Linked DNA regions of Diceros bicornis minor. The protein of the gene in region 2 interacts with the protein of the main gene of each other region in a biochemical or structural test. Links are inferred from orthologs where the notes say so. Each region holds a gene or a part of one and is shown on either strand. Other genes may lie near its edges. The genes, in order: ACVR2A, ERBIN, SCN4A and ATP2B4.

Region 1 (7,988 bases), on a different chromosome or scaffold from region 2:
GACAACTTGAGAAATTTTCAAATCTTCATAAAAATAGCCATCCTTACTCTTCCCGCATGCCAGATTACATATTACATAGAAAAATCATTTAGGAAAAGAAACATAATCATCCTTTTTTAGAGTGCATTTGATTCATAACAAAAGCTCTTTTAAAAAATCAGACATTTTAAGTACTAAAAATCTTCATGTATAAATATGGATTAAAGTCTTTAAGATTATTTCAATTATCTTCAATAGAATTATATTTTAGTTCAACTAGGAATGTTTATGTAAAAAAACTATGCAATAATATTTAATATTAGTTTAATGTAAGTGGAACATCTATACCCTCTATAGCAACAAAATTACTTTATTTCATAATTTTAGCTATTAACCTCCTGGCCCAGTGAAAATAATCCTAGAAGAAGCTAATGCTCTATTCTTTTCACTCCCAAACCAAGCAGAGAGAGCTATAAGATGTGTAGCGACAGCCTGCTTTTCCAGAAGTAATACCTTGAGACTGCTCAAGAATAACCTGCTTCACCAATTAGCGTGACTCAGGTGGGTCTGGAAGGGAATAATATCCACAATTCCTTGGTCAGTGGCCATGATGCCCCTCCTCCTCAAGGGCAGGAGATCAGAAAAAGGGATTTGAACAAGAGGAGTTCACCAACCAGAACATACAGGGGCAGAGGAGAAAGAGTACTATGGGAAAAATAAAAGCTACATGGTTAAGTCATGTCACAAAAGCAAGAGGTTTAATGCCATCAAGGTATTCATTCATTTCAGAGACACCATTGTTTATCTTCCTCCCCAAACCTTGCACAAAAAGAACTGTCAGCCTGCCTTAAGCATGTTCCTTCTTCCATTTAAACAGACATGATTCTTTTGGTTAATCTCTGGCAATGATCGCCATTTCACAACATATTCAGCCCACCCGGAACTGATCAATACCACTACAGACATAAGACTAGACTTTATCCATTTATTAACCACAAGGAAATGTACCATTCAGCAAAATTCTATACATCACAAAAGATTCTTTAAAAAAGGGCGGTAGGGAGGACGGGGACACCGACACACACACACACACACACACACCACAGAGGTACACAAAGAAAAGACTACCACCCTCTAATTTCCCTGTGGCAAATGAGATAAAGACATGGCCATGAAACCTGTCAATTCGTTTTCCCCCCTGACAATTCTCTCTCACAACCTAGTCACCGAATATTGAATTTTATGATAAATAAATTCATTGTGACTTTAAACTGTTTCATCTAACTCACTCTCCTGTTACGTACATCTGCACACCTTTGAGCTAGATGCTGTATTCATTTATAGAATTTCAAATACAAAAGACTAGATAGTTTTCCAACCACTGGTTGCAACCACAGAACGTTCTCACAAAATCAAAATTTCAAATGTAAAAGGGCCAGATTATTCTTCCAACCTTGGACCAAAACCGATCTTATGACTATAGGCTATTTGACAGTACCAACAATCTCAAATGGGCTGTTCTAAACCGAAAACAATGCTTCGATACAACGCGTTTAAAATAAGTATTCCGTAGGTAAGCAAAATCTATGCCAGAAAAGAGCACATAAATGGTGGTTGAAAGCCAGCACATTACCGACACACAGCGGCATACCTCTTCTGCACTGGGTTATAGTTAATACTCCAACAACAACAACAACTATTTTTAACACTGCTGGACACTGCACTTGAAGAAAACGTGAGGGGAGACCCAGATGAAATTGCTGATATGATGCATTGTTTCTCACGGTCAAAATTAAGTAGCAACTGACTTGATCTCTGTCGTGATAGCCACCGATGAAGCGCTCATTACAACACGATTTTTAAAAACACCTTTAATTTTAGAGGATGCCACACTCAATGACATTTTGGAATACGTCTTTCAGGTCTCAAACCTTCGCACAAATTGTCACTTGTGGTATCTGCGGCTTAATTGCAACCCAACCAGCGCTGTCATCCAGTGTTATGGCCACAAACCATGACTTTCTCACTTCCACAACAACAGAGCAGTCGCTCTTATCAGCTCGCCAACCTGACTCAAAACGAGAAAAATTCATGGAGGCTTCCAGATCCCAATCAGACCCGGGGGGTGGCAGCCGCGGGGCTCGGGGTGGGGGGGAACCTCCCCAGGCTCCCCCGGAGCTCGCCGACCCAACAACAACCGCGGCCGCCAGCAGCGGCAGCAGCGGCCGCAGGAGCAGCAGCAGCCCCGCCGCGCTGCCTGCACCTACCTGAAGAGCAAGAGATAAGAAAGACGGCAAACGCCAACTTCGCAGCAGCTCCCATGTTCCCGAGGCGCCGGGGATCCGTAGGAAGTTCTCGCTAGATATCCAGTTCCCTGGGTCTTCCTCGGAGACAAACCTCCTGGTGTAAAATCAACCGTCATAAAACATACTCGGAAGCCCCGACCAAAAAAAACGTTCACGGGGTTAAAAAAAGAGGAAAAATAAAAAAAGGCACAATAATAATATAAAAAAAAAAATGCACCACGGGGGAAAAACCGCCACACACACGCACAACACACAAAACCAAACAACGAAAAGCCAACAACAACAAAAGCAGGTTTAAATCACTGTCAAAATCACTGTCAGCGCCGCTCGCCTCTCCGGGCTCTGGGAACAAAACGCCAGGCTGAGGCGACAAGGAGGCGGCGGCGGCGGCGTCCGCTGCCGCCCGGACAGTCCGGGAACCGAGCTGGGTCCGACGTCCGGACCGACCTTCAACCCGGACACCCAAAGTCCGCGGACCACTGGCGGCCGAGCTCGCGGCGGTGGCGGCCGAGGCAGCGGCGGCGGCGCGGGGCAGGAGCGGCGGGCGGCGGGCTGCGGCGGCTGTGCAGGCGGCGGCCAAGTTCTGGTCCAGGCTCTGGCTCCGGCTCCGGGCTCAGGGCTCGGCCGCGTTTTCGGTCCCCGGGCCTCAGTCGGCCACGCCCCCTAAACTTCCGGTTCCGGCCCGAAGCTGGAAGCCAGGCACGGCGGAGGAACGCTCCGCGGCGGCGGCGGCGGCGGCGGCGGCGGCGGCGGCTGCCGGTCGCAGCGCGCGTGCCGGGCCGGGAGCGCGAAGAGATTGTCGGGGAAGCGAGGCGGGAGCGGGGGAGGGTGAGAGAGCGAGGGCGGGGCCAGCTGGAAGGCGAGGAGGCGGGGCGGACGGTGGCTCGATACCGCGAGGCCTCGGCGTCCGGCCTGCTCGGCCTGCTGGGCTGTGGGGCTCGAGAGGGTGGGCGGGTGGATGCTGCGGGGGGCCAGCGTGGCTGGTGTCCTGATGGTGCCCCACTGGCCTCTCTGGAGCGCACGCCCGACTGGTCCGGGAAGCCCGAGAGGAACAGGACCAGAGGCGGGGCTGGGGCCGGTGACTCCTCCGGGGGGCGTCTGCGGCGCCCCGTCTTTCCTCTGGGGGGACGCCTCGTCCGCTCGGAGACTCCGGGCGCCGCGAAGCTGCGTGTGGGAGCGGGTCCGCCACGCCTGCCGAGCTGTCCGAGCGAGCTCGGTGCGCGCGAGCTGGGTCTGTGCCCCGAGTCCTGCGGTGCATCCCACCCCCGTGGTTTCTGCTTAAGGGTTTTGTCTTTCGGCTAAAAGAGAAAAAAGAAAGGAAAAAAACTCGCGGAGGATGGGCTGTCCACCCGCCCAGGATATCCACGGCAATTACCACGATGTGCAGTTTGAATCCCTTCCCACCATCCCTTGTATACACAAAGCATTGTGTTGAGAACTGCTCTGCATGTAATAGGTTCGCAAATATTTATTACGAGCTGAAGAGAAAACGTGCGGATTTCGATCGACATATTTGGTGGTCAGACAAGTGTTTACTTTTTCAAATTTTAGTTCTTTTAGGGCTTATTTTTACCCCTTAATCCAACTTGATTGCTTACAGGGTGTTGTGCTAGCCACGGAATGGGATCCAAAATGTAAAAATAGGATCCCTACCTCAAGGTGCTCACAGTACTTGCTATACGTACTCGAAGTTGCTGCGAAATACGAACTAAAGGCAGTATTAAAGATGCTAGCTTTGTCATTTACCACACTTGAGCGAGCTCCGTGAAGGTAGGGATCTTATGTCGTCTTCCCCATTTTATGCCAGCGCTCAGAGTGTCCAGCATATGATAGGTGCTTAATAAAGAATTGTATAAATGACTAGGGGATAACTGCCTTCTTAAATGCAATATTCTCACATGTACTCTACAAATTTTTGGGTTTTTTTTAATAAAGATAATGATAAAGCAACTGCACTGCATGGCAAATTCATGTTTTACTTGTGGTTTACTGATTCCCACATTTTTCCCACAAAGCCAAGCCGCCTCCCTTGTATTTAGTGTTTCACTTTTCTCTTCCTCTAAATTACTCTGTATTTCTGTCTATTAAGTTCATCCTGTAATTATCTGCCCATTTCTACAACCTGTCAAGGTTATTAACAATCATTGTGGCTCTTTAAACTCTCTCCAAGATTTCCAGTTCTCAAGTGGTGGTTCTCAGAATTTGACTGATATTGTGCAACAGTTAGGAAAAGTCCCAAGTTGGTCTTCTAGGTGTCTAAAGGACCTCATATTATGTAGTTCTCTGGAACTATTTTATGAGCTAATCAGAGGAATAGATATAAACCTCCTTGGGTTCTCTGGTTGACTGAGAGTTGTCACTAACGTTTCTGGAATGGAAGTGTATTTCATTTAGTTCATTCAGAAATTTGATGTCAGTTATACCCTGGATCAGGCCCCACTGTTGTCTTATCTCTGCATCACTTCAATATTTCTTGAATTGTGAAACCAGAGCAAGTGGAAAAACTGGAATAACCAGTAATAGGATTAAAACGTGAAAATATATTTCTTATCTTACCACCTGAATTTCCAGTATAAGAACGTAACAGAAGATGAAAATTATTTTTTTGTAGTATGAAAGATGAGCAACAAGTCAAAGTCTTCACTAGACTAGTCTTCTCTAATGAAGAGTTAAAATAACCCCATGGGAAAAGTTATTTACATCCAGTGACAGTAGTTACCTATTTTGTGCCTAAATCTGTGTTCACGTCCACCCTCTGCATTTTTTTAAAAAATTCAAAAGTGATTCAACGTAATAAGACATGAGAGTATGTGACTAATTCCCATTGGAATTCCAAAGCTTAAAAAGGAGATAGAGGTAGCTGCAGCTAACCCTACTGCCCCTCTTTCCTTTCTATTTTCTAGAATCGCTTTTGCTTATCTACAAATCCAACACCTCCCTAACACAGTGTAAGCTGTACAAACTGGGATTGGGAAGGAAGATGAGGAAGGAGAGGAAAAGAAAAGGAAAACTGAAAAGAATTCTCGTCTGCCAGAGCATTAGACAATTATGCATTAAACAGCTTTAGCTAACATCTCTCAATCCCAAAACCTGCGGCCTTGTAGCCACTCCAATGCTAGAATTTCAAGTACAGAGTCCTGACAATAAGTTCAACTGAACTGCAAGTTATTCCCAGCTGCAAGAGTCTTGAGAAGCCAGTTCAATCTAGAGATTCGGGTGTGCGTTGGCTGGATGAGGAGACAGACGTAAATGAGTGCCATACACAGCTTCTAGAATAAGGGATGATTTCTTTTTATGCTAGAAAAACTCATTTGGCTCAAAACGGTATGGACTAAGTTTAAATGTTCAACTCTGAAGTGGGACTGTATTTGAACTGGGCTGGAATTGAACTTGCATTTGAGATTGGGTGGTATGCCATATATTGTGAGGAAATTCACCTTAAGGTATAGACCTGCCTTTGGACATACCAATAGCCACATATAAGCAAGACATGCCAGATCTCTCTTCCTCATCATCAGGAAGATGACTAAATCCGTTTGGAGTATGAGGGATGTTGAATTCCCCTTAGATGAAGGATTTAAAAGTATTTCTACTGTTTTCTAGTTACTGTAAAAGTCTACTCCTGTGTTCAGATAACATGGGCATTCCTGAAGTGGCACAAGTAATGAATTTCTTTTATACCAATGCTGTAAGGCATAATACATGGGGAATAAACTTGGTACCTCAGTAAGTCAAAGGAAGGCAGATAATAATCAGCATATCTTCCTTGTATTCCTCTCCGTAGATGCTCAAGGTCGGGGGAAAACTCCCTATATCCTAGCTTTTGGTCCTGTTATTCTTCTCTTTTTTATTTAGGTCCAGCCATAGCATTGCACTGTGCCAATGGGGTAAAAAAGACACATACTGAGAAAAATAAGGATGTGGGAATGGATGAGGGACAAAACACAAAGGCAGAATATTTTAGGACAGAAAAGTGAGTTAAGAGAAACTAGCTATGATGGAAATAATGTATCCAGTGTAATTTTATAATGTATCCAATGTAATCAAGTTTGATAAAAAGGCTACACTAACCCAGCTAGTAATATAAATCTCAACAACCAATTGGTTTCTCTGTAACATCCCAAGGGTAATATTTGACTTTTTCTCCCATATCACCTCTTTCTAAATCCAGTAAATGTGTGGGAAACAAAAAGAACAGGCTTAATTTAGGGAAAGTTTTTTCCCACCCTCCAATTTATATTCATGATCTCAGGGGCTTAGTTTTCTAACTATTTAATTTCTAATAGTTTTTTAAAATACTTTTTTGTGTGTGTGTGAGGAAGATCAGCCCTGAGCTACCATCCATGCTAATCCTCCTCTTTTTGCTGAGGAAGACCGGCTCTGAGCTAACATCTATTGCCAGTCCTCCTCCTTTTTTTTTTTTCCCCAAAGTCCCAGTAGATAGTTGTACGTCATAGTTGCACATCCTTCTAGTTGCTGTATGTGGGATGCGGCCTCAGCATGGCCGGAGAAGCGGTGCCTCGGTGCGCACCCGGGATCTGAACCCGGGGCCACCAGTAGCGGAGCGCACTCACTTAACCGCTAAGCCACAGGGCGGGCCATCTAATAGTTTTATAACTATTTTATTTCTAAATTTTATAACTTTTATTTCTTAGTTTTCTATTTTATTTCTAATAGTTTTCAACTATTCTTTCTACTAGAAAGAATAGTTCTCTTTCTAGTAGAAAGAATAGTTGAGACTTTGAGATACACTATCTAACCGATCCCAATGATCTAAGTCATTTAAGTTGGAGTAAACACTACTCAAAGTGTAGTTCTCAAACCAGTGTTGGTCTCCAACCATTTGTTACTGATCTTCAATGAGATTAGTATAGACATTGACAACTGTTTAAAAAGTTTTGTAGAAACTTGACAGAATAGTTTTATGTCTGTTGAAGCTAATAAAAATAATTGGGCTTATATTTTGTTTGTTCTTGTCTTTATTTTGTGTTTTTAGTAGTTCAATTTTATTGTATTTTACAAAAGTCTTATAGATTGGAAATTCACCATAGATAATTTGTGAGGCACTGGAGTAGAGAACAGGCCGTATTACCCAAGACTCTTTCTCAAAAATAATGCCCTCCATCCATTTTGACAAATGCTTAAAATCTTGAATGAAACTTTGATGCTATAGTCCTAAAATTTCTATAATGCAAGACTGCATAAGAATCAATAATTTTCATTACATTGTACATATTTATCTGTGATATTCATTTATTCAACAAGTAATTATTAGCTACAGGATTTGTGTTAGGTGTTGGTAGTATAGTGATAAATGAAATGGGTACAGTCTCTGCCCTCGTTGAGCTTACAGTGTCATGAGGAAGACAGAAAAATAACGAGTAAATAAGTAATTGTCTAATGGGAGGGATTATTTATAAAAGCAGACGGGATGCTGAGATAAAGAATAAGAGTGGTGGGATTGAATAGGAAGAGCGGACCTATTTAGAGAGAATGATTCGAGAAGGACTTACTAAGGAAGTGACATTTAAACTGAAACCTACAAGATGAAAAGGAGATAGATAGTCGTGAAAGGAGCTAGTTAAGAAGGAACAGTATGTACAAAGCCTACGGTATGTTCAAGAAATTAAAAGGAGGCTCCCACGGCAATGAAGAGAGAGGTATGAATAGGAAGAGAGGAATATGGGCCCCAGACTATGCAAG
Region 2 (7,759 bases):
ATGACTCACTCTTACTTTGGAATAGGAGTGATATGCTACTTAACTAAAAAAAGTTTTTATGTAACATAGTTGGCGTTTTAGAGCAGGGCATTTAGCCTCTTGCTACACCTCAAATTATGCTTAATACTTACATATCCGCTATTTTTATGGCATATTTGATGCTAAACAGTTTTTTAAAACAAAATACTATAGAAAAAAATGTAAAGTTATTAAGTGTGAGCTTAAGTGAGTAGGAAAACAGCAGTTTTGTTACTCAAAGAAAGATAATATTCTTAAGTGAAAGCCTGCATTAAGGAGCATTAAGCCACAGTATTTAATCTTTTGTTGTTGCTGTTAATTTAATATTGTTAAGATTTAGAGAGAAGTGTGCATATTGCAATATGATTGAAATAGATTATGATTCACACCAGGGAAAATTTGAGAGGGGAAGTGGATCAGAAGAAGGTGATAAAGTTGGAAACTATGAAGGTGACTATTTGCCCCTGTTGGCTCAGCGCAGTCCTGGTTTTACATTTGTTGTCCCTGTGTAATTATTATTAAATGTCTGCTTTCACTCTCAAAAGTGTTCTAGCCTGGATGATACACTATACGGTCACCTTAGAAATGATGGAAGCATGTTACATGTTATCAGTGCATCTAAAAGTGCATCACTACTAACAGCTAACACTTTTGAGTCTGCCAGAAACTGTGCTAAGCACTTTGTGAGCACTGTCCCATGTGGTCCTCCCAGTAATCTATGAGGCAGTTAGTATTGTAGTCCCCGTTCTGGAGATGAGGAAGCTCAAGTTTACGTTTATAGATGTTCAGGAACTTGCCCAAGGTCATTCAGTAGCCAAGTTTCTAATTCAAGCAGTCTTGTTTCAGAGGTCACACAAATAATCACCACGCATTATTCATTTCCTCCACACTTTAAAAATGTTCATAAGACATCTGAAAGAAATTTAATTTGGATAGGCTACGAAATGTATGGATAGGAAAAAAGATTATCAAGGATATACTAGGGGAAAAAAAACTTCAAAACTTTTCATAAAGCTTTTCACAAATAGAGGGAGACTTCCCTGTGATTGATAAAATATTACTGAAAATATGTCTGAAAGGCAGAAACATGCTATGGGAGGGATGTTTCCATTCCCAAAGTATTATAAAATCTTTAGTTTTGGTTCCTGCATGTTACTGCCTCTTTTGAGCCCAAATGTCCGTTTCCCACACACTTGCCACCCTAACCTCCTGCCCTCACTATCAACGGGCTAAGATGGAAGTGAAAATAGGGAAGTCAATCCCTATTAAAAATATATGTTATAATGCATTTTGATCTAATTGATCTAATGCTTCTAGACTTTTTTTGAATCTAACTCTATTCTAGCCTGAAGATTAATTTTTCTCAAATACTACTGTGATAAAAGCTTTGGTTCAAGGTCACCAATTCTTTACTAGGTGTTGAGAAAGGGAGAAAAGAATGATCACCCTAAACTTTTCCTTGCCCTCTGCTAACTTGGTCACAAATGCTTGCGCACAGCTGCTTGGCTGGCATGGGGAAATGACAGGGAACCCTTTTTAAAACAGTGGATAGGCTCTCTGTTGAGACACTTTTTTTTGATGGATGCTGTGTGCATTCCCTGGAACGCTTAAGGTCTTAAGGCTTTCCTTCAGATATGTGGCTTATCTCTAGCAGACAGTAATTCCTTTCCTGAGCCCAGCCATGAGAAGGGAGAATCCCAAAGAAAGAATTCCCTGTCTTTCACGGACAATTATTTAGAGAATCACAATGGGGAATATCAAGTTATACTATCAACAACTATTTTTTAGCTTATTCTCTAAGGTGGTCCTGGAGTTCATTAATCATTACAGAATTACAGTTAGGCAGCCTCATTTAAAGTGGGGTTTTACTTCTCCCTTTAATCATAATTGAAACATTAAGTCCATCTTAGTTCAACTGTGGAAGGATTTTCAAAGGAAACTAATTTGTAAAGCACGGAACACGAGTGCCTTGTAAAAGAACAAACGGAAGATTTGGCTATATCTGTATGTGCTGCTCATATGAGTTAGAACCAAGCAGTCAGCAATGAATAACAAAGATGAATCATTATTCTGATTGTTGAATACTCTGATCATATAGTTGTCATTTCACCCTCGCATGAGCACAGATGCAGAATCCCTGCTGAAGATACTTTACAGAAGGATTATTAAAGAAACATTTGTCAAAATAGGTAATATTGGTAAGTGTATCCTGGCTTCCATCCTCTTAAGGCCAGCGTTTTGGGGTTCATTCTTACAGTATGAGTAAGTAGGACTTATTTAACAGTCGAATAGGGAGCACTTTATTGTCTATACTTCTCTACTCTCCATATATTCCCCCGAAGAATGAAATCACATTTCCCACTCCTACCTTCTCAGCATCAGCATATGCTATCTCTATATTCCCTCCCATCAAAAGCTGCTTTGGGGAAACAATCTGATGAATTAGGTATAAAAGACTAATAAGGCTTAAAAGAGTACCTTTCCCAGGATTATGCTAGAGAAATAAACTACTCAAAGGAATTAAATGCTAGTGGCAAAATTTAGGCGAGTTGGAGGAGGGGTTTTTGGTCATAGGGACTTTTGTAGCCTAAATGGTAGTCAGCCAGATTGGTCCCCAGTATGAGTTTAAGTCAAAATAAAGGCTAGGGCCAGGGCAGGTTCTAGCCTAGGGACTGGTCTAGTCCTATTTATTTAGGTTTGCGGGTGGTGTGGGGACATTACATTTACTTGATTCTATGATGTCACATTTAAACGGGTCTTGAATCAACCTGAGACTAAATGTGACATTGGAATCCTAGAATCCAGCTGGTCTACAGCTGGCCTCTGGCTGGTATGGGAGATACTCCATGCTGGGCTGCTTTAGGAGAGTGACCCTTGCAGTTCAGAGCTATACCAAGGAGTCTGGTCAGACTCAAACCAGTTTTCGAAAGTGGAGTAGGAAATCTTTCTTGTGACAATTAAAAATAGCTTATACTTACTAGTAGACCTGGCTGCTGTTTCCTGCTTTAATGTTCTCTTACCTCCAGTTCAGCACTAAATAAGCCTGACCACTTTGGTAGTGTCTGTGAACCTTCAACTTCTGCTCTAAGCTAAGGAACTACCTGTGTTTATTCTAGCAGTTCTGGAAGTAGTTAAAACGCTCCTACCCCTAACAGAACGTCTTGAATATCTTTGGAGTTGTTTCAAGCGTTTGTCACTAGCATACAACTCACTTTGGTAAATAATTCTTTGATGGACTTCACGAACTCCTTCCTTTGGATGCAAGCCAAAAATCATCTGTAGGGCATACAGCTCTTTATTCAAACTTGCTAATAAATAATTATCTCTGGAACACAGACGGAAGAACTGAAGCAGTGACTTCAGGGACACAGAGACTAATTACCATCACTGTACACGGTTAAGTACAGCACAGACTGGGGGCGGGGAATGGTTCGTTCCGTATCTATTAAGTTCCTTCTCCGGGTGAAACAAGGCCGTCTTGTCTGTCAACATATTTAAAGCAGTAACTGCACAAACTGTGCAATGTTATGGTTGAGGCGTTCTATGTCACGTGTTGACAGAATGCTTAAGAATCTCTCTCCGCAGTAAACGCAAACCCTGCCAGGCTGATAGATTAGGGCCAGCGCAATTCACCGACTGGTGCACCGAAACCGCTGGGGTTGGAAGCCTCTGTCGCTTTCGGAGCGTATACAATGTTTCCTCTAACAAAGGCACCACCTTGAGGCAATTTCGCGGGCCCTTTTCCCCCTCCCAGCGCCAGCTTTGTCTCCCCGCCGGTGTGGGGCTGAGACTTGGAGGAGCCCCAGCTGCGCTGCTGTGCGAGCAGGCTCGGAGCAAGGGCCGGCGTGGGAAGCTCCCCTGAGCTGCCGCTGTGGTTTCCTGCAAACTGAGCGTGCCTTTAGAGGAAGTTGGAGTGCTGCAGTTGAAAGAGATACCTGCAGCCTGAAAATCGGGGCTGGACTTGAACCCCTCGCGCCGATCACTGTCGTACAAAGACACTCAATCGGCCGGGGCGCCGGAGGCCCGCTACCGGGCTGGGCGCGGGGCAGCCGGGGTCAGCGTCGTCAGCGCGCCCACCTTAGGCGGCTGGGGAGTGGGCTGGGGGCGGCAGGCGGGCCTTCCCCGGCCTGGGCCGGAGCGGGCCTCACGCCGCGCCTCGCACGCGAGCCCCCGGCCGCCGCCGGCCCCTCCCGCCAGCCCCCGGCCCAGCGCCGCCGACGTCGGCCCGCGCCGCCCCGTGCGCGGTGACTGGCTCGCGCCGGCCTCCCCCGGCTGTGGGCGGGGGGGTGAAGCCGGCGGGAGGCCGCCCCGCCCCCGCCGCGGAGCCGCCGCGCGCAGCCTCTTCCCCCCTCGCCGGCGGGGCGGTGGCGCTGTTGCCGCCGCGGCCTGTGAGGCAGTGCCTCCCCTCCGCCCCAGCCCCCTTCCTCCTCCTTTCTCTGCGCGCCCTCCCTCCCCTCTCCGTCTCGCGCTCGAGTGAATGTGGCGCGGCGGCGCGGGACGCAGCCTCGGCCCCTGCCGCGGCCCCGCGAGCTCCTGAGGAGACGAAGCCGCCGCCGGCGCGCACCCCCCGCGCTGCCCGGGGGAGCCTCCGCCGCCCGGAGGGGGAAGAAGAACGAGGAGGGGAGCGAAGGGACGGCGGCGGGAAAACGGGAGAGGAAGCAGAAGAGGGGTCGAGGGCGGGTAGGGAAGGCGGGAGGGACGGACGGAAGGACGGACGGCCCGACGGACGGCCCGGGGAGGGGGCCGCCCTCGAGGCTGTTCGGCCCCTCGGCTGCAGCTCGGGGCCGCGGCGGCGGCGGCGGCGGCGGCGGCGCGGGCGAAGGGCGCGGCAGGCGCTATCGAGACAATAACCGCGCTGCCCGGCTCGGGGGGCGGTGGCGGCCTAGCGCGGCCGAGGCTCGCCCAGCGCGCGGCCGCGTCTTCGCGCCCGCCGGCCGGGTTCCGCCGCCGTCGGGCGTGCGGGGCGCGCCGGCCTCCCGGAGCCCGAGGCTCCGCCGGCGCCCCCTCCCCTCCCGTCCCCTCCCCCTCCAGCGCGCGGAGCTGGTTTTCCGGGTTGCCCTGGACCGAGCTGGATCCTGCTTCTCGCCAGGGCAGGAAGTGAGTTTCGCACGGTAATTCCGGGCGGTGTCACGAGTGAAAAGTTTTTTTTTCGGCGGAGATCTTAGTTGGGGCTGGGAAACTCCTGCAAAACTCGAGACCAGGAAACCAGCCCGCTTCCCAGCCCCCACCAAAGCAACCTACTCTTCCTCTTGCGGGAGGCCGCTCCACATCCGCTCTTACCGGAGAGAGAAATTCGGCTGGATCCGAAGTGACTAATGAAGGGAAGGAAATCATGTCAGGCGAAGCGTTGAAAAAGCTGCCCTGAGACACTGCCCGACCGAAAGGTAATTTCCACGAAAAGTGTCTAGAAGTCACAAAGCTCCTGGGCCAGGAAAGAGAGGATAGTTGAGTGTGTTTCACTTTTTCCCAAGTGTCCCTGAATTCACCTTTGCTCATGTCGAACGGGATAGTGTTTTAGGTGCTAAATGGTAGAACTGATTTGTTTTCCCCCTTCTACCATCAGGACTCTGGTTATTTTAGAAGAGGTTGAAAGAATGCGGTGGGATGAAAAGTTTTAAGCAATCTGAAGAAAGAATGCCTTTGTTCAGCGCAAGGTCCAGAAGTTTTAGTTTCCCGGAACATATACAGTGTATATTTTTTATTTGTTAAGTTGCTGAACCGGCAACTTTGGTTTTAGAAGAAAGGTCGCTGCAGCGAGTGGTTTGCTGTTGTTGAGATGGCTGCCACATTTGTTTATACTGTTACCCATTTATTAGGCTTTTGCGTTCAGTCGTATATAGAGATTTTGTAGTTCCAACACTTAGAAATATATTTCGTTGAATTTATAAACAAAAACCTTTGCCATTCTGAGTCATTTTTCTAGGTGGGTAATATATTTCTTCAGTAACTTGTTCCTTTCAGACGCTTAGAACCTTATAATACTTGTATGGTTAATTAATTGAAAGCAAGGGTCTGCTAGAGTTTTTTGTAGCTGACCTAGTAGGAAGAAGGAGAGCGTAAGTGTTGTGGATAGTTACAATTAAAAAACAAAAAACAGCTATAAGTCGTTTGATTTGTTAGGACGTCTCTGCAGTTCAGATCAGAATATATAGGAAAGGAAGTAAAATGCTTCAAACGATTTTCTTGGAAATCACATTGTGATAAAGAGCTGTGCTTTTTGAATAGTACAGTATTTACATTTTTGTGTTGGCCCAAATGTTTTGGCTGGTTCTGCCTAATAAGTGATAGGTACCTGATGTAGAGGCAGGGATTAGTGATGCGTGAGAGACATTCCACCAGGCAGAGTTATAAACACTACTGAACCAATCGGTAGTCTTTATAGATCAAACTAGTTTTGGTCGCAGCAAACACAAAACGGTTTCTTCAGTGGCCTTTTAGTGTGTATCTTTTTTAAGTTTTTTTGTTTTTCCAGTACTTTTCTGGTAAAGGGAGGTGAAAGACAATACTGTGCTTTTGCATAAATATTAGATAAATATGGTGTTCCATTGTAGGTATATCTAAAATATAAATTGATGTTTAGTTTGCCCATGCTACCCCAAGAAAAATAGTTGGCTTTCTTTAGTCCAAAGAAGAGAAAAGGTAGGTTTTAAAGAGATCAAATTATTTCACAACTTGGTTTTTGTTACTTTATTAAGTATATTTCAAAATGAGACTCTTTTAACTATTTATTACTATATATTGTTTTGATATTTTCCCCAGAGCCTAGTCTCTGGAGATCCTTTTTTTTTTTAAAAAAAAATTCGTTGGTAAGATTTGTGAACCATCAGGTAATTCCTGTTAAGTCAAAGCTGCTTTATCAAGGAATTTAAAGTAAATAACTGATCTACTTTTTGATTTTGGAACGTATCATTAGGCAGCGAAGGAGGTTATTCTTGGGCATCTGAAAGAGCGGAACAAAATAAATGGCACTGAACTTCAGTTCCCTTATATGGCTTATACTTGGCCTCAGAGCAACAAAGCCTTAACAGAACAAGTCTTTTATAGAGAATTATCATTTTGAGCAGATATTTCTCTGCATTAGTAAATTTTATGTGTAAGAAATATTGTAGCATTTGAAAATAACTTCTTAAATTCCTGTTTTTAGATATAGTTCTTGATCGTTGTTTTTCTTTAGGGAGCAATAGTATGTTTAGATGTAGACCACACGTTTTTAAAAGTGAGATGTTCACCTTTGTAGTTGTCTTTGATTCCTTTTTTCCCCTCCACAAGGCAAAATTTACTTTGTGGTTTACTTACAATTTTTGTTAGTTTAGCACTGAATTAACTTCATGAATTTTAGGCTTTATACTATTGTCAAACTATAAATATTTTTAAAGCCTTGTTTAAAATGTGACAGTGGTTTGAAAAGAAGTTAAAAAAACAATAATCAGTTAAAATATTTTTAAATGGCTTCAAATTTTGTATATTCTTCTTAGTATTGTGTGGGTTTTCTTAGATTAGATTGGCAAATATAGAGTACTTCAAAGTGTTTGCTTATATTGCACAAATGCACATCTAATGCTACTGTTTATTGAAGGTACTTAGGAGTTTTCAATAGTGATAAACTTGATTCTTAACTAATTAATTCAGATATTACGTTATGAAGTCAGCCTGCTGTTTGAGAACAAGCTATTGCAAACTTTTCACATCTGAAAAGCTTACCAAGGTTCAAATATGGAAACCAAATTTTTATTGCATGTTG
Region 3 (7,838 bases), on a different chromosome or scaffold from region 2:
TTTAATACCATGGTTCCTTAACTTATCTGACCACAGACCCCTTTTTCTTGTCATGCCTGTTAACACCCGAGGAACAGCAGGGTTCACTCTGAGGAGCTCTAGACTGACTGCAATGTCATTGCCTTCTGCCCCTTTGGACGGACAAAGGCATAAATGACTCTGGAATTCCAGGGATGGATTCCCATCGTTTATAGAAGAGCTATAACTTCTTCCTTGGGCTTAATCATAGTGTCTCTTACTTCAATATTAATTCATTTTCTTTTCTTATCTTGATATGGGAAACAGATGCTCAGCAGCCTCCTTATAAACTCTCTCAAGCTCTGAGGATGCTGGAAGCGTGGCATCAAGGAAAGGTGTTTTGGCCTTGATGCAGTGGCCAAAGGGCAGTGTGGCCTTCAGTAAGCACTGCCCTCTCGGGTCTCTTGGGGTCTCCTTTCTCAGCTGCAATATGAGGGCTTTGGACTAGAAGAGAACTAAGGGACTTTCTAGCATGAAGATGGAACAACTTTCTCGTCCTCCCAGAGCCTGTTCTCCATCCCTTTTCAGATCATCTTTCTCTCCTGTAATGAGCCACTTCCAGTTTCTCCACATGCTTTTCCGAGGGTCTGGATGAGCCAAATTCCATTTATTTCATGCTTCTTGATGCATTACTTTGGGATTGCCCCAGCCTCGTTGCTCAGTGGGTATGCGGCGTGTTCCTTATTGAGCCCTCAGGGCTGGCACGTTCCATCACTGGTTCCCTTTGTGTCTCTCTCAGGTGGAGTCTCTGCTCTGCCCAGTCTGCTTATTTTATTTAACTCACATACCATGCACCAGGCACTATTCTAGGCACCTTATTGATATTAAGGGATTTAATCCTCATAACAACCCAATGAGTGGTACCATTATTATCCACATTTTACAGATGAGGAAACTGAGGCATAGACAGGTTAAGCCACTTGCCCAAGGTCAAAGTTAGGAAGTGATGGAGTGTGAATTGAACCCAGGCAGTCTGGCTCCAGAGTCTGTGCTCTAACCATCTTGCTATGCTGCCTCTCACACACCCATGCTCCCACCTGGGGCCCCTTCCCCTCTGTGGCCATGGGGCCCCTCTGTGTCCAGGCTTTGGTGTGGGTCCTACACAAACAGAGCCTGGGAGTGTTGTGACCCCAGTCAGGCTCCTGGAACTTGAGTGTCAGGTTCCAGACTGAGCACGGGGGAAGGCCTGCTGACCTGGGTGGAGGGTCCCTGCGCCTCCCCGGTACCTGGGATGACTGTGATGGTTTTCAGGGCCCGCAGCACCCGGAAGGTCCTCAGGGCTGAGATGTTGCCCAAGTCCACAAACTCCGTCAAGTACCTGGAGAGGGGGTGCAGTTTGGGGTAAGGGCTGTGTCAGAGTGGGGGGTGGGTGATAGGGCAAAAATCAGGGGCTTCTCCAGGCCCAGAATGAGGATCCCCAAGGAATCCTTATAGTTGAGGTTCCCAAAGGAGGCTGAGGGGCAGGTCAGACGCCCGCATTGTTCCTATTGGGGCCTGAGAGTTGGGAAAGACAATGCAGGTGCTTTGCTGGGGAGTGGGGATGGCGAGGGTAGCTCTCCCAGTGGCTGAGGGCCTGTGGGACTGGGGCCCAGGGCTGCTGTGTGTGGTTGTACATGGTATGCGGAGGGGCATCAGGAGAGCCTCCAAGCTAGACCCTAAGAAGGGTAGCTCCTAGAATTGTGCAGCTCACTGTCTGCACACCTGACCTGAGGCCCCTGCAGTCCACTCCTCTGAGACAGAGGGTCAGCCCACTCAGCTGCCCTCTTTGAGGCCTGGCCTCCTCCCCTCACCCCTGACTCCCAGCCTCAGGATGCCTCTGGGGCCCTGCTCACGCCATCATGATGACGCTGAAGTCCAGCCAGTTCCAGGGGTCCCGGAGGAATGTGAAATCATCGATGCAGAAGCCTCGGGCCAGCATCTTGATGAGGGATTCAAAGGTGTAGATTCCTGTGAAGGTGTACCTGGCGGGGAGAGGGCCGGCCAGCGCCAGGCATGTCACACCCAAGCAGGGGGGTGGGTGGCAATGATGGACCTCCCAGGAGGGAGGGTCGCAGAAATGAAATATGCCACCCAGAGGGCTGAGGACATTGGTGAGAGTGACAATATACACCACCCCGGGGGCTTTGGGTGTTAATGGGGGTGACAGTGACAGTGTGTGTCTCCCTGGAAGACAAGAGCAGTGTCTTGAGTGCAAGAGCATCCTCAGAGTGCAGACACCTGGGATGGGCTGTGTCCCAGGACCAGGGGGCTCAGGGGAGGGAGAGACTTACTCCACGTGCTTGGACCAGGGGGGCGGGTCGCTCATGGTCATGAACACGCAGTTGGTCAAGATGGTGATCATGATGAACATGCTGAACAGCGTTGGGGGGGGGGGGTCAAGGAAAGTGAGGGAGCAGGTGGGGAGGGGAGGTGGACAGAGGGCCTCCTTGCCCAGAGTACCCCATTTTGCCCACCCCCAACCCCTCCCTGCCTCTCCCCACCCCTGTGCTCACTCCACTCAGGCAGGATATGAGTGGATGAGCACCTTGATGGCGCAGCGTCTGACGATGCTGAAGGGACTCAGCAGGTAGAGAGCGGGCGTGGCGGAGAAGCGGAAGATGGCCTTGCCTTTATTGAGCACGATGAAGGTCTGAGGCAGGAAGAGAACTGTGAGGCCTAGGGCCAGGCAGACAGATGGACAGTGGACAGACAGGTAGAGGGAACCCCCCAGACCCGGACCTTCTTGTCACTGTAGAAGGGGTCCAGGTCCTCCAGGGGGATGCCGATGACCTCCGGTGGAGGGTCCCCATAGACGAGGGGCAGGTTCTTGCCAGCCTCCAGGTCACTGCGCGGCTTCCGTTCAGTCTCCTCGATCTCCATCTGCTTGTTCCGCTGCAGCCGGGCCTCTTCCTCCGCCACCCGCCGTTCTATGGCTGCCAGGGACTCCCGGGTGAAGGGGCGCAGGCTCTCAGGGCCCAGAGGCACCACAGTGGGCAGAGACGAGTTGGCCATCCTTGCATCCTGGGCTCAGGGGCCAGGAGGGTGGCAGGCAGCTGGGGCAGTGCACAGCCCCGGGGGTGCTGGGCAGCCACCCCACCCTGGGGCCTGCTGTCTGCTACTCACCTCCTGCCTGCCCAGGGGCCAGGCTGGGGTGGTCAGCGTGCAGGCCCTATCGGATTGGGAGATGTGCCTGCAAGGCCCGGGCGCTGCTGCTGCACAGGTGCTGGCCACAAGAGCATCACCCCTGAGCCCCGCACCACACTCTCCCCAGCAGGGGGTTGGCTGCCCTCAGGACTGACAGCAAACCAGCCAGATCCTCTTCAGCCTTGCAGACTTGAGGCCAACGCCCCAGTGCCCTCAACCGCCTCCTGGGTTCAAGCTCTGGGAACCGTGTGGCTTCAGCCTATGGGGACAGAAAGAACCACAGCTGGCTATGCCCACACAGCCTCCTCCCCACATTGAGGTGGAAAGGAGTCAGGTGTGAAATGTGCAAGTGGGCCCAGAGGATGGGCCAAGATGAGGGGCCTGGTGGGATCACTCTACAGCAGGAATGGCAAATGGATTTCATCTTATGGGCCAACTTGCATTGGCTGCTATTGGCGGCCTGGAGATGTGGGCATAGACCATCAAGGTTGCAGCCAGATTCAGTGCAGAAAGACTGCTTTGATTGATTAGTGATGTCTGCCAGGGGTATGAGACAGGAGAATGTGGTGCATCTGCCTATATTTGCCATCCATGGTCTGGAGGGAAGGGGAAAGGAAGAGGTGGGGTGTGGTGTGCCCTGTGCTGAGCTTTGGTGAAACGTGATGTTGGGCTGGGAGATGGAAGAAGGAAGGGCCCTGGGCCCTGCAGCTCCCACCCATGGGACCTGTGGAATCTAACCCACTGGGCAGGCAGGGGGTACTGGAGCAGGAAGATGCAAGTTGTATGCGTGGGTCCACATCAGGAGAGCCTGCAGATGCTAACGTGGAAAGGTAGGACACAGGAAAGGTCATGGGGACAAGGAGATGCATAGTTTCAATGGTGGGGGGAGGGCTAGAGCTCCCAGAGACTGTGGCTGGTGGTCCCTGCATGAGCTGGGTGGATAAAGGGGCACCCACCAGGAGCCTTAGAGGCCTGGGAGAACTGTGTGGACTGTGTCTCCTAGGCTAGTCCCTCCGCCTCTCCTGGCCCCTCCCCCTCCTGCCCAGCCCTCCTGAGCCTGTTCCCTGTGAAAGGGAGGTAGAGGGTCACATCGCAAAGGCCCTGGGGAATGACCCGCATCAGCAGGCAGGCACAGGGAGACCGCTGCAGCCCAGTCACACGCAGCCGCTGCTAGTCCCGCACACAGACAACCCAGAGCCACTCCTCCACCACAGGGGCTCAGACAGACCTCCCAGAGCCACACTGGAGGGCAGCCCCCCTCACAGCAGGCCCAGATGCCCAAGCAGTACCCCTGCCCCGGCCAGTGCGGGCACTTCTTCAGGCTTGGTCAACAGGTGGGGAGGGTGGCCCAGGGAGAGGCTGGAGCCATTGGGCAGAGCTGGCCACGCCCCCTGTGCCTGGCTGCCCAGCTGCTCCCTACCATCACCCAGGGAGTCGTGTTTCCACGGGGATGACTCTGCTCATTCCTGCTGACCCCGTCCCTCAGCTGCTCATTGGCCCCATAGGATGCGTGGGAGTGTGTGTGCGTGAGCCCACACATTTACACAACACAGACGCACATGCCCAGCCTGAAACCATCCCTCATGCGGACCCCACAGTTGTACCCTACCACTCATCACACACCTTCCTGCCTTCATCCCCATCACTGATCCCACGTACACTTCCATACAGAAGACACTGACCTGCCAGATGGCCCTGGAGGGACCCCATATCTGCTGGGCACCCTTCCAGGTCACAGGCTCCACTTGGCAAATCCCCTGGCCTGAGATGCCCATTGTCTCCTTCACAGGAGCCCAAGTGGGACCACAGAAAGCCAGAGACAAACAGTCTGCTCCCGCCCCAGCACTCGTGGAAACTGCGCTCCCTGGAGTTGCCAGCGGCCCCCAGTGGACAGATCCAGTGGTTTCTTCTTAGCTGGCCCTCCTGGCCCTCCCTCAAGCATTTCTCACTGCCACTGCCTTTCTTCTCGAGAGAAGAACGTGGCCTGCCCCTCTAGCCACTCTTTCCATTTCTGCTCTGTGAGTCCTCCTTCCTGCCCTTGGAGGATGCTGCTTCTCTAGGACCTGATCTAGAGATGATCAGCACCTCTCCCCTTGTGTCCTTCTCCTCTGACGTGGAAACAACAACCACCCACCTCCTTGCCGTGGTCCCTACAGCTTTGCCACATCTGTTCCCACTTCCCCGATGGCCCCAGACCAGTCAAGTCGCGGCTGCCTTTCATGCACAGCCACAGCCTTCGAAGCTCTTAGGTCAACAGTGATTCATACTCTGCTTGCGCGATTGTCTCCTGGTGTCTGTGCCCCGACTAGACTCCTCACAGCCCGGGACGTGGGGGTCACCACTGAATCTGGTGCCTGGCACATTGCACAGGGCTATTTAAAGACTGCCGCGTGGTCCCCACATCTCTTCTCTAGCCCAGGCCCTCCCCTGAGCTGCAGACCCACAGATGGCACAGCCAGGCTGGCACCTCCTCCTGCTGTCCCCCAGCTGGCCCCAAATGGACTCATCTCTCTCTTCAAAATTTGCACTTCATCTAAATTCCTCTCCTCCTACCCTCTTTACCAACGCTGAAGCCACTTCACGTCATTACACACGGTCAGATCTACAGAATTATCTTCACTGCCCCCGCCTCCTTCTTCCTCCAACCTGCTGTACAGAACCAGAGGCCAGGCCTTCTGCTGGGCTCAGGCCCCGACCCCGCTTGCCTTCCCAACAACCTCATTCTCCAGTTATCATCTTTCTCTACCACCATCAACCTCTCCCTGTCTATGAACAGGCTCTCCCATCTTAAAAATAACGGCAGTGGTGACAAAAACTACCTTCTCGGCCTCACATCTCCCTTCATCGATTGCCCTATTTTTTGTCCCTCTTCACAGGTGAACTTCTTGGAAAGTGTCTACACTAGCTGTCTTTACTGCCTTACCTTTCGTTTGCTGTCCAACCCATTCCAACCTGGCTTCCATTACCCCCACTCAACTGAAATGGCTTTTGTCAAGTCACTAGCACCTTCTCTGCTGCCAAGTCCTCTGAACACGTTTCTGTCTTCACCCCTCTCAACCTCTCAGAAGCATTCAACCCAGTTGGCCACAGTGCCCTTCTGGAAAAGCTCTATTCACTCAGCCCCCGTGAAAGCACACCCATGGGTTCCCTTCTACCTCTCTGGCTGCTCCTTCCTTGGCTTGTCATTCTTTCTTGACCCAATCTCTAAAGTTTCTTAGGGCTCAGTCTGAGTCTGGATGGCATCATTCCTATGACTGTAAATAGCATTATAGGAATACGATAAACCTCTCCTTTGAACTCCAGACCAATATATTCCACTGCCTACTGGACCACTCCATGTGGATAGCTAACAGGCATCACACTGACAGCATCTGGAATGAAACATTTGTGTTCTTCCACTGTCCCCTCCAGTCTTCCTCAACTCAGGAAATGACACCACCATCCACTTGGTTGCTTAAGTCAAAAATCGTGGTGTCAGGGGCCAGCCTGGTGGTGCAAGTGGTTAAGTGCGCGCCCTCCGCTGCAGAGGCTCGGGGTTCACCGGTTCAGATCCTGGGTGTGCACCGCTGCACCGCTTGTTAAGCCATGCTGTGGCAGCGTCCCATATAAAGTAAAGGAAGAATGGCACAGCTGTTAGCCCAGGGCCAGTCTTCCTCAGCAAAAAAGAGGAGGACTGACATTGGATGTTAGCTCAGGGCTGTCCTTCCTCACAAAAAAAAAGAAATCATGGCCTCTCCTTGGATTCTCCTATATCCTCATCTTCTGCATCCAGCCCATCCGGAGTTCTATTAATACCATCTTCAAAATCTCCCTAACCTCCCCTTTTTCCTCTGGTCCATACCACAATAATCTCTTGCAATAGCCTGTTTCCTGCTTCCTGTTTTGCCCTGCCCCCTCCAAACAAGTCCCATAAAGCAGCCAGCGATCTTTTAAAAATTAGAAACTAATCATGTTGTTTCTTCAGCTTAAATTTCTCCAGTAACTTTTCGTTGCTCTTAGACTAAAACCTAAACTTCTTATGGTGGCCTACAAGGCCCTGGTGATCCAGCCCTACGTACTTTCCTCCTCTGTCTCCTGATCTTTTCTCCCTGTCCACTCTGGCCCAGTCCCACTGGCTTCCTTCCAGCTCCTTGAGCACTGGGCTTGTGCCTGCTTTTAGGCCTTTACCTGGCTCCGTGCTCCCCTCCGTCTTCATGTGGCTGTCGCGTCCCATCCTGTCCCGTCCCATCCCGTGTCCATCCCCCTCCACCCCCCTGCCCCAGCTAGGCTCAAATGTCCTTTCTCCAAGGGGCTTTATCCTCCCCTACTCTCTATCTTTATCCTCCCCTACTCTCTATCGCAGGCCCCTGTATTTTCCTTGACATCATTTGTCATAATTAGTAATTACATGTCTATTTGCCTAATTCATTTGTCTGTCTCCTACACTAGATTGAAATGCGAAGAGGGCAGGAACTGTGTCTGTTTAGGTCACCAGGGCCAATCCAAGTGCTGAGCACACAGCAAATCCTCAATAAGTGTTTGCTGAAAGAATGTGTGGATGAGGCCTTGGATACAGACTGTTCTAGGGATAAAATGAATTCTGCTATATTTCATTCATTTATCTATCCTTCCATCCATCCATTCTGTTCATAAGCCAGAAGCTGAGTTAGCCCTGAGTAGGACACAAAGATGCACCAGTTGGGCATCCTGCCTTCTGA
Region 4 (7,819 bases), on a different chromosome or scaffold from region 2:
TCCTAGGCTCCCCCAAAATGCCACTTCCTTCTCCCAACAAACATTGACCAAGCACCTTATAACATCTCAGGCACTGTGCTAGGTGCTGGGAGTCCCAAGGGTAAGAGAAGCTGTGCTCCTTTGACTTGACTTTGAGTCCAGAAGAGACAGGAGGTGGTGACTGGAAGGGGAAGGGGCTAAGGCTCAGCATGGCCAGAAGCAGGAAACCTCTGCTCCCCAGCTAGGAGCGCCTTCTGCACAGAGCACCCAGATCCAGACTTAGCCGGAGGGTGGAGCCGAGCTGCCACGGTTTGCTGGGTTTGCTGCAGCCCTGATCCAGCCCGCGGCCCTGGGAAGGGCTGCTGCAGAGAGATTCCCCACGGCCCACCTGACTCAAGGCCTCAGGAGCAGAGCCTCCTCTGCTAAATAGGGAAGCCCTCCCCAAACCCACCGGAACCCACCCCTAGTCACAGCACTGAAATACGAAGGCCAGCGGCAGGAATGGTGGGATTACAGGTGTCTAAGATGGGAGGGCGCCGTGATCCCCGGGGTTGTACCTCAGCTAGATGGTGGCAGGGAGGATGGGGCTCCAGAGCAGGGGCAAAGAAATGGATTCCCCTTCCCCCTCCTACAGAACAAGGGCGTGAATCCTATCTTGGGTCCCCTGCCCACTGCAGAGACCTCACTCTCTTCCTGACCAGAATGCAAGGAGGGAGGAGCTAGCTGTCTGTCCCTGGGGTGCAGTCAGATCAATCATCCAGCAACTCAAAATGAAAATTGGTTCCTACTGCTTCCCCAGCCCATTTAAGCTCTCCTCCAAGTCTTTTGCTTCCTTCTTTCCAGTTTCTAAGCTGTCACCTTTACCGCTCCTCCAACCAAACTAGCTGAGGCAGAGGGCAGGTGCTTCCTCTCCCCCAGCCTGACACCCCCCACCCCGCCCTCCCCTACCATCAGTCTGCTTCAGGTCCAGGACCCACCTGCCAGAGCCAGCCCCCATGCCACTACCCCTAGCCAATGAGGGAACTGGGCTCACTAGCCATCAGAGCCACCACCTCTTCCTGCCCTCCTCCTAAACCTTCCCCCATCCTGTGCCTCCTGACCCCTAGGCCCCTCTCTGTGGTCTGTCCCAGCCTAGGTTGACCCTGGTCCCTTCTCTTCCTTCCGTATAAAGAGGGCCCGCAGCTGAGGGGGCTGGAGGGGGCCTCCAAATAGGAAGGGCAAGAAGGGGCAGCTCTGGGGAGGGGCTTAAGGCGGGAGGGGAGGATCTTAAGACTCCCTGCCAGACATCCCACCCAGAGAAGAAGATGGCACTGTAGAAGGGGATTTTACTTCCCCTCCCCTGGTAGAGTCAGTTGAGCGCTCGCCTATTTCTTCATCTGACATCCCCTCTACCAGGCCAGCCGGCGCCGGCATCATGTCTGCAAGTTATTGTAAGTCCGGCAAGAATGCCCAGGAGGGAGGTGCTTCTGGCCAACAGAGTGCCTACTCTCTTCCAGGATGTGCTAGCCACTGCTGTGGCCTCCGCACCCAGCTGGAGAAGAGCTGTAGGTCCTTCAGTGAGATGGAGGAGTGTGTGAGGCTGGACTCGCCTCGGGGAGGATGCCAGCCGGCCTCCTCCACCCTGAGAGCGAGCCAAGTATGTTAGGGAGCGTGAGCATGAAAGGAGATCAGGAGGGACAATCCCAGCCTTAATTTCTAGCTCTTCAGCAAGACAACGCAGGGGCCCAAGATGCTCAGGGACCCTTCCAAGGATGCCTGTGACCAACCCTCAACTGCCAAACACTCCCCAGCCCCAGTCACCAGCCTTGACACTGCAAACTTTCCAACGTCACTCCTTCTCCTTTCTCCCCTCTGGGACCAGAGATGTATGGGGCGGTGCCCTCAGAGACACTCATACAGTTGGCTCTTGATGCTCTGCACACACTCAAACAACAGCGGTTGGAGGGAACTCCCAGCTTTTTCCACAGCTAATTATAGACGTGAAAGTCAGAGGCTGTTTTGCAAGCAGCAGAGAGAAACTGCTGAGGTTTCTCTACAAAGCTAAAGAAATTTAATTTGTACACTCCCCTTCCCCACCCTCCCAACTTCTCCTAGCTCTGCCTCCACCCATCGCCCCCAGTAAGCCCCCTCCCAGTCCCCACTGCAACCCCTCCTCCTTGTTGAAAATTTCTTACCCGGTTCTTTTTTTTTCCCATCTCTCTTTGGGGCTTTCGAGCAAGGGAACAGACGCGGAAAATATTTTTGCAACGGTTTTCCATTCTGTGTCTCATTCCCAAGCCAAGGGGGAGGGGGAGGGCAGGAGCGGATGAGGGGAAACAAATGCTTTTTCCAAAAGCTCAATTTGGGTATGAAAAAAACACTCCACTCCCTCCATTTCCCTACCCCCCACGGCCCAGGTATGACAAAAAGTAGGAAAAGAAAAAGAAATCACTTGTTTGATTATATGATTTCTCAGAACGGAGTCTAGGGAAGAAATACAGAATTTGACAAATCTGTGTGTGCGCGCGCGCGCGCGCGCGCACAACACCCCCCCCCCCAAGCCCAGTCGCAGAATATATGCTAGGAAGAGGAAATTCAAGGAGTTTAAGAAGCCATTGAGAGGAAAGAAATAAAGTTCGCAAATCGCGAGTCAATTCATTCTCTGCAAGCCTACCTCTCTTTCTAGCAAAGATACAGGCTTCTCCAAGCGGGACTCTCCCTCCGGGTTTCCATGGACGGGGTGACGGCTGACACTCCCCGGTCTCCCCGGTGTGGCGACCGCGCTAGGGATGCCGGCTGCGCTCTCCTGCCGGTCCCGCCCCGACGGGGAGCGGGCTAGGTTTCTCCCCGGCCCTCCCCGTGGAAGGACCTCTCAGGTTCCTGGAAGAAAATGGGTGCCGGGGAGCGGGGCGGGTGTCTCCGGTCTCGCTCTCCTGGGAGAGACGCGTCCCCAGGAAGTTCGTGCCCCTCCCTCAACCCCCAGCTTCGGACGGTCTCAGCTGCATCGCTGTCTTAAGAAAATGCTCGTCATGGCAACAGCTCCAGCCAAGTCGGCCGGCCCGGGGCTCACCCGCCTCCCCAGCGAGCGGGAGGAGCGAGGGGAGGGGCGCGCGCCGGAGCAGGGGCGGGGCTTGGCGAGGGGCCAGGTTTTTACTCTACTGTTAAGGTGGCTCGAAGGCGAGCCTTGGCCACTTCCCGGTTTGTGTTAAGGGGGCCTGGGGAAGGCAAGGGAGGAATCTTCTCTGCTCGGTTTCCTCCGCCCTTGATCTCACTGTCGAAGGGAAGGTAGGGTGGGGGGCGGCAGTGGGGAGTGGAAGTGGGTGCGGTATTCAACCGTTGCTGGGGGGAGGGAAAAGGAAGCTTCTGCAGGCAGTTGGCTTCCTGCAGCTCCTACGGCCTCTCAGCCTCTTCTTGCTTAGACCCAGGACCCGGGACCCGAGACAGGAGGTGTCTGCGGACATTGTACATCCCCTCCCAACCTCCGGCCCTGTCTGAACAGGGGGATCCTCGGAAAAGGAGGAGTTGTGTTGCATGCACATACATTTGCACAGCTTTGCTTCTACAGACACCTTAGTACACACCTCCTCCCCCAGATTTCACACACACAACAACGGGCACATTTTGCTCCCTCTTGCCTCTGTACCCACCAGAGGCGCATCCACAGAGCATGATAATAGCTGCCTTCTTTTGAGTCCTACTACGTATAGGCTCTGGCACCAAAAGCTTTATATGCAGTATCATTGCTAGTGCTGTTGGCAGTCTTGAAAAGTGCTTGTTATTATCCTCATTTCAGGGCTGAGGAGATTGAGGACCAGTGACTCACCCAGGCTTACACATCTGGCTGATAACACAGCCAGGATGCACGCCCAAGTAGACTGACTCCAAAGCCGGTGTACATTCCTACACTGGTATCATACTCTGGCACACATTTCCTTTTTAATTTGCACACACTCAGACACCCATTCGCACTTATACACAGCCTATATACTGTTCATCACACCCCCGCAGCCACACACCCACCAGCATTGTGCAACAGTGCCACCCATAGATTTTGCCTAGAACCTTACAGCTTTCAAGTACAGACATGCACCATCAACTGGTTCACACAACACACTGTCATTGACTGATATGTTCTCACACCTCCCTCAGCACACACACTCGCGCTATTCACATGCTGTGGGAGGCAGGTCAACATACACCTCCCAGGTTAGAGTGGTAAACTCTGCTGCGAAGAAGGTGACCGGTCACAACTTCAGGGGTTTGGGAAGAGGCCTCTTTGATCCTCCCATCCTAATCCAACACCTCACACCACACTTGTCCTCCCTGCCCCAGGATGGGGGTTGGGGGGAAGGACCATATATGCACGTGGAGACACAGAGCTGTGAATTAGACCCCTGGGGTCTGGTTTCCCTCTCTCTGTTAGCACGCTTCCCAATTTCCTACCATTTGGGTCCTTTCTGTCCTCTCTTTATTCTCCTGTCCTACTATTTCTCAGTAACTCATCCACATCCTCTTTCTGAGCTAGAGACAGTTAAACAAAAAAGAGTACAGACACTTTTTTAGAGGGGTTGGGCCAGGCTCAGAACTCAGAGTTCTGCCATGTGGTGCTAGGGATTGCCTGCTGCCGTCTGTCTTGGGAACCATTCTGTGCCTCTCCTGACCTGCCCAGACCAGCTGGTGGAAGGTTGCAGAGGTGGGGAGGGGAGTTTAGGATCACCCTCTATGGAAACCGTCCATGGCTGGTTTCCCAAGCAGTCCTTTCTTCCTAGGGCCTGGAGGTCTCACCCTCCTTTCACTGGGAGGACACCAAAGGTGAGATTTGTTCTCTCGCACTCCCTGCTCCTCTCCGGGCTTCCCTGGTTCCTCCTACCCCAACCCCCAGGGCATTTCAGTGGAAGAACTGATGGCAGAGATAGAGATGGTACCTTGTCAGAGTCTGGAAGGTCCTACCAAAATGTTGGCTTCAGGAGCCCAGAGCAATTGTTGGGGCAGACAGAGGAATGAAAGGAAAGGAATCAGCTGAACAGAGCTTCAGATTTAATGGCTTGTCAGTCTCCGTGCAGGATTGCAACAACTTGACATTTTAGTGCCTAGTGAGTGTCAATTGCATCTTTATCATGAGAAAGCCAGTCTCTGAAATGGTGCTTTAAATGTATTAAAGTATATTTTGAGCTTGTCTGCAGTGGCTGTGCTGAAGGCATTGCCTAACTGTTCAGTAAACTTGTCTTGGGGGAGTAAGAATTTAGGCCAGATGTGTGGGCCCAGTAGAGGAGAAGTCTACTTCAGCTGCCTGGCATGTGGGGCCTGGGACGTGATGCCAGCTCAGAGCTGGTTAGTGTTTGAAAGGCAAGATCCTCCCCTCAAGCTCCCTGGGTTCCAGGGAGAGAGGTTTTGCAGGGGAGGTGCTGCCAGAAGAGGCTTTGATGTCTGTCCCACCTCTCGCTGGCCGGATTCATGGGCAGGCCAGGAGGATGACTTCTGTGGTAGCTGGCAAGCAGTTCCTCCCTTGTCTCAGCGTTTAGTGCTCCCCCTGTCCAGGTGGGGCTGTGAGGTGAGAGAAGAGGCTACCCCCACCCCATTCCAACTCCCAGTTCCCATGTAGACAGAAGAGAAGGGTGTGAGAGGTGGCAAGGTGACTCCAGGGGAGGCCACAGCCTGATGTCCGCAGCTGAGCCCGCCACTGAGTGTTTTCTGGAAACGCAGAAGCCTCGGTGCCTTGTTTTCTTCCAGCAGCAGGCTTGAGGTCTAGAAATGATAAAAATAAGTCTACCCATAAAAAGAACCACTAAATGTAAGAAAGTGGAGTTGTGCCCCTTCCCGGCACTGTGTCAGGAGGGAGGGTACTGCCTCCGGCATCAGAAGTTCCTAGTTGGGCTGTTGTGCATGGCTGGCTGCCCTAGCCTGCCATTGCCCCTTTCCTTCCTGTCCCTGCCACCCCTTGACTTCACAGCTTCCCTGCTTCTTTGGTTCTAGCCTGGCTCTCCTCAGCCAGGTGTCATGGCCTTCCCAAAGCAGGACAGCCTCGGCAGGGCTCCCATCACTGTGGACCCTGTCCCCACCCCATCTCTCACTTGAAGAAAATGCAGTCAGCCTTGTCCCTCCCTCAGGTGTTAACAGAATTTCTTTCTCTGGCCTCTTGAGAGCTCCACCTTGAGTTCCCCAAATGGCCCTCGCCGTTTCTGTCCTCCTCCCTAGAATTCAAACTGCGTCTCTCCCTACTATGGACAGCTACTGTTTGTGTGTCTAGAACAGCAACCATCCTCCCACACCTAGACCCAGTTCTTCTTTAAGATGGTCTTCTCCTTATTATTTAGATGGGAACTATCGTTTTATTAGAGGTCCTACCCCTACCTGAGCCATTACATCCTTTCCTGGGATTTTTTAGCTTAAGACCAAAGGGAGAACATGGCTTGCTTCCCCCCAGCAGTGGACATTGTGAAGTATGAGGCTCTGGAAGTATCAGAGACTGTGTTCCCTGCTACATGGAAGAAGCCTGCCAGTAGGAGAGAATAAAGCTTACATGCAGAGAGAGGCAGAGAAGAAGCCTGAAGAGTGAGTCCTGGAAGCATTTGAGTCAACTGTACTCGTACCCTACTGTACCCTTGCTGTTCCTACAAATCAGTTAGTTATGTGACTTATTATGCATGCATAAGCTAAATTAAGTTGTTTTCTGGTCACTTGTACTAAGTAATATAGAAATGTCATATAGAAAGTAATGTAGAAACCCTATGAGCTGGTACCTGCCATTTAGGTACACTCATTTCAGTGAATTTTATTCATTACTGAATACCTACTATTCAATTCAGTATACATTTCTTGAATGTCTACTGTTCCCATATCCCCTGGGCCCAGATGAGTATACAGAGATAATGGTTTAGTGGAGGAAAAAGATATGTTCATAGCATAAATAACCACAATGGAAGGTGTTATGGTATTCTTTCAGACATATTTATTGAGTGCTTACCGTGTGCTAGGTAGTTCCTGTGAAAGGAGGAAGTATGAAAATACTTCTGTGGAGATTCCAGGGAGTGATCACTTCTGACAGGAATGTTCGAAGGCTCTAGAAAAGACGTGGTATTTGGAGGGACGTGGAAATGTTGAAGAGTGATCTTTAAACTGTTTTGGATGCGGGTGAGTGGGGTGAGCTGTGAGGGTGATGATGTGAGAAAGGTAGGAGGTGGGAAGAATAGAGCGAAGGCTAGGACTGTACTGTGGAGGGCCCTGCGTGGCCTTGTGGGGTTTGTGGTCAGCAAGCTGGCTGTGGCAGCAGTGTGTAGGGTAGGTGGCTGGCCCAGTGCAGTGCTGGGCAATTTGGTATAACATAGTTATGTATAACATGGTCCCTGTCTTCTAGAAGCTTCTTATCTAGTTGTGGAGACTCATAAATCAGATAACAACAAAACAAAGTATGTGATTAAGTCTCAAGCTTGGATCCAGATGAAAAATTCATGATAGTCTAGTGAAGGAGAAGCTGAAGGTGAGCAGGAGCTTTTGAGGAAGGCTTCTCAGAGTTGGAGGGACTCCAGCTGGACTTTGAAATTCTTCCCAGTGTCTCTCTTCCCACTCCCCTGCAGAGCAGGTCTGGTGAAGGCTGAAGGCAGGAGAGACAGAGGCATTTATCCAAGCGACATCTGCCCCCATGCCCTTTGTCTGTCCTTGTCATACATAACCAAGGGCAGGGCTACTGAGGGGAGGACACTGGACTAATTTAGCCACCGGCTGGCTCCAAAGGCGGAGGATCAAGCGTGCCAGCTAAGGGACCAGGGTAAGAGTGCTAGACACCCTCAAGGCAGAAGTCCATGGAATTGGCCTGGCCAAGATAACAGGAGATAAAGGAAGGCTGCAATTAGATAAGAACACA

Evidence for each region.
Region 1: the proteins of ERBIN (region 2) and ACVR2A interact in a test that uses a peptide from one of them, tested with the Homo sapiens proteins (2 studies listed by BioGRID and IntAct). The link is inferred for Diceros bicornis minor from reciprocal best matches to the Homo sapiens genes ERBIN and ACVR2A.
Region 3: the proteins of ERBIN (region 2) and SCN4A interact in a test that uses a peptide from one of them, tested with the Homo sapiens proteins (2 studies listed by BioGRID and IntAct). The link is inferred for Diceros bicornis minor from reciprocal best matches to the Homo sapiens genes ERBIN and SCN4A.
Region 4: the proteins of ERBIN (region 2) and ATP2B4 interact in a test that uses a peptide from one of them, tested with the Homo sapiens proteins (2 studies listed by BioGRID and IntAct). The link is inferred for Diceros bicornis minor from reciprocal best matches to the Homo sapiens genes ERBIN and ATP2B4.

Annotation. Positions count from the first base shown.
Region 1 is NC_080749.1:32,217,938-32,225,925, reverse strand, and holds the start of ACVR2A (activin receptor type-2A), read right to left. Parts: upstream 3,007-7,988; 5' UTR 2,302-3,006; coding exon 2,247-2,301; intron 1-2,246. UniProt on the Homo sapiens protein: On ligand binding, forms a receptor complex consisting of two type II and two type I transmembrane serine/threonine kinases.
Region 2 is NC_080759.1:11,090,249-11,098,007, reverse strand, and holds the start of ERBIN (erbin), read left to right. Parts: upstream 1-4,756; 5' UTR 4,757-5,402; intron 5,403-7,759. UniProt on the Homo sapiens protein: Acts as an adapter for the receptor ERBB2, in epithelia. By binding the unphosphorylated 'Tyr-1248' of receptor ERBB2, it may contribute to stabilize this unphosphorylated state.
Region 3 is NC_080757.1:46,737,537-46,745,374, forward strand, and holds the start of SCN4A (sodium channel protein type 4 subunit alpha), read right to left. Parts: upstream 3,010-7,838; coding exon 2,737-3,009; intron 2,648-2,736; coding exon 2,529-2,647; intron 2,379-2,528; coding exon 2,289-2,378; intron 1,980-2,288; coding exon 1,851-1,979; intron 1,337-1,850; coding exon 1,245-1,336; intron 1-1,244. UniProt on the Homo sapiens protein: Pore-forming subunit of Nav1.4, a voltage-gated sodium (Nav) channel that directly mediates the depolarizing phase of action potentials in excitable membranes.
Region 4 is NC_080743.1:101,988,979-101,996,797, forward strand, and holds the start of ATP2B4 (plasma membrane calcium-transporting ATPase 4), read right to left. Parts: upstream 3,010-7,819; 5' UTR 2,633-3,009; intron 1-2,632. UniProt on the Homo sapiens protein: Calcium/calmodulin-regulated and magnesium-dependent enzyme that catalyzes the hydrolysis of ATP coupled with the transport of calcium out of the cell. By regulating sperm cell calcium homeostasis, may play a role in sperm motility.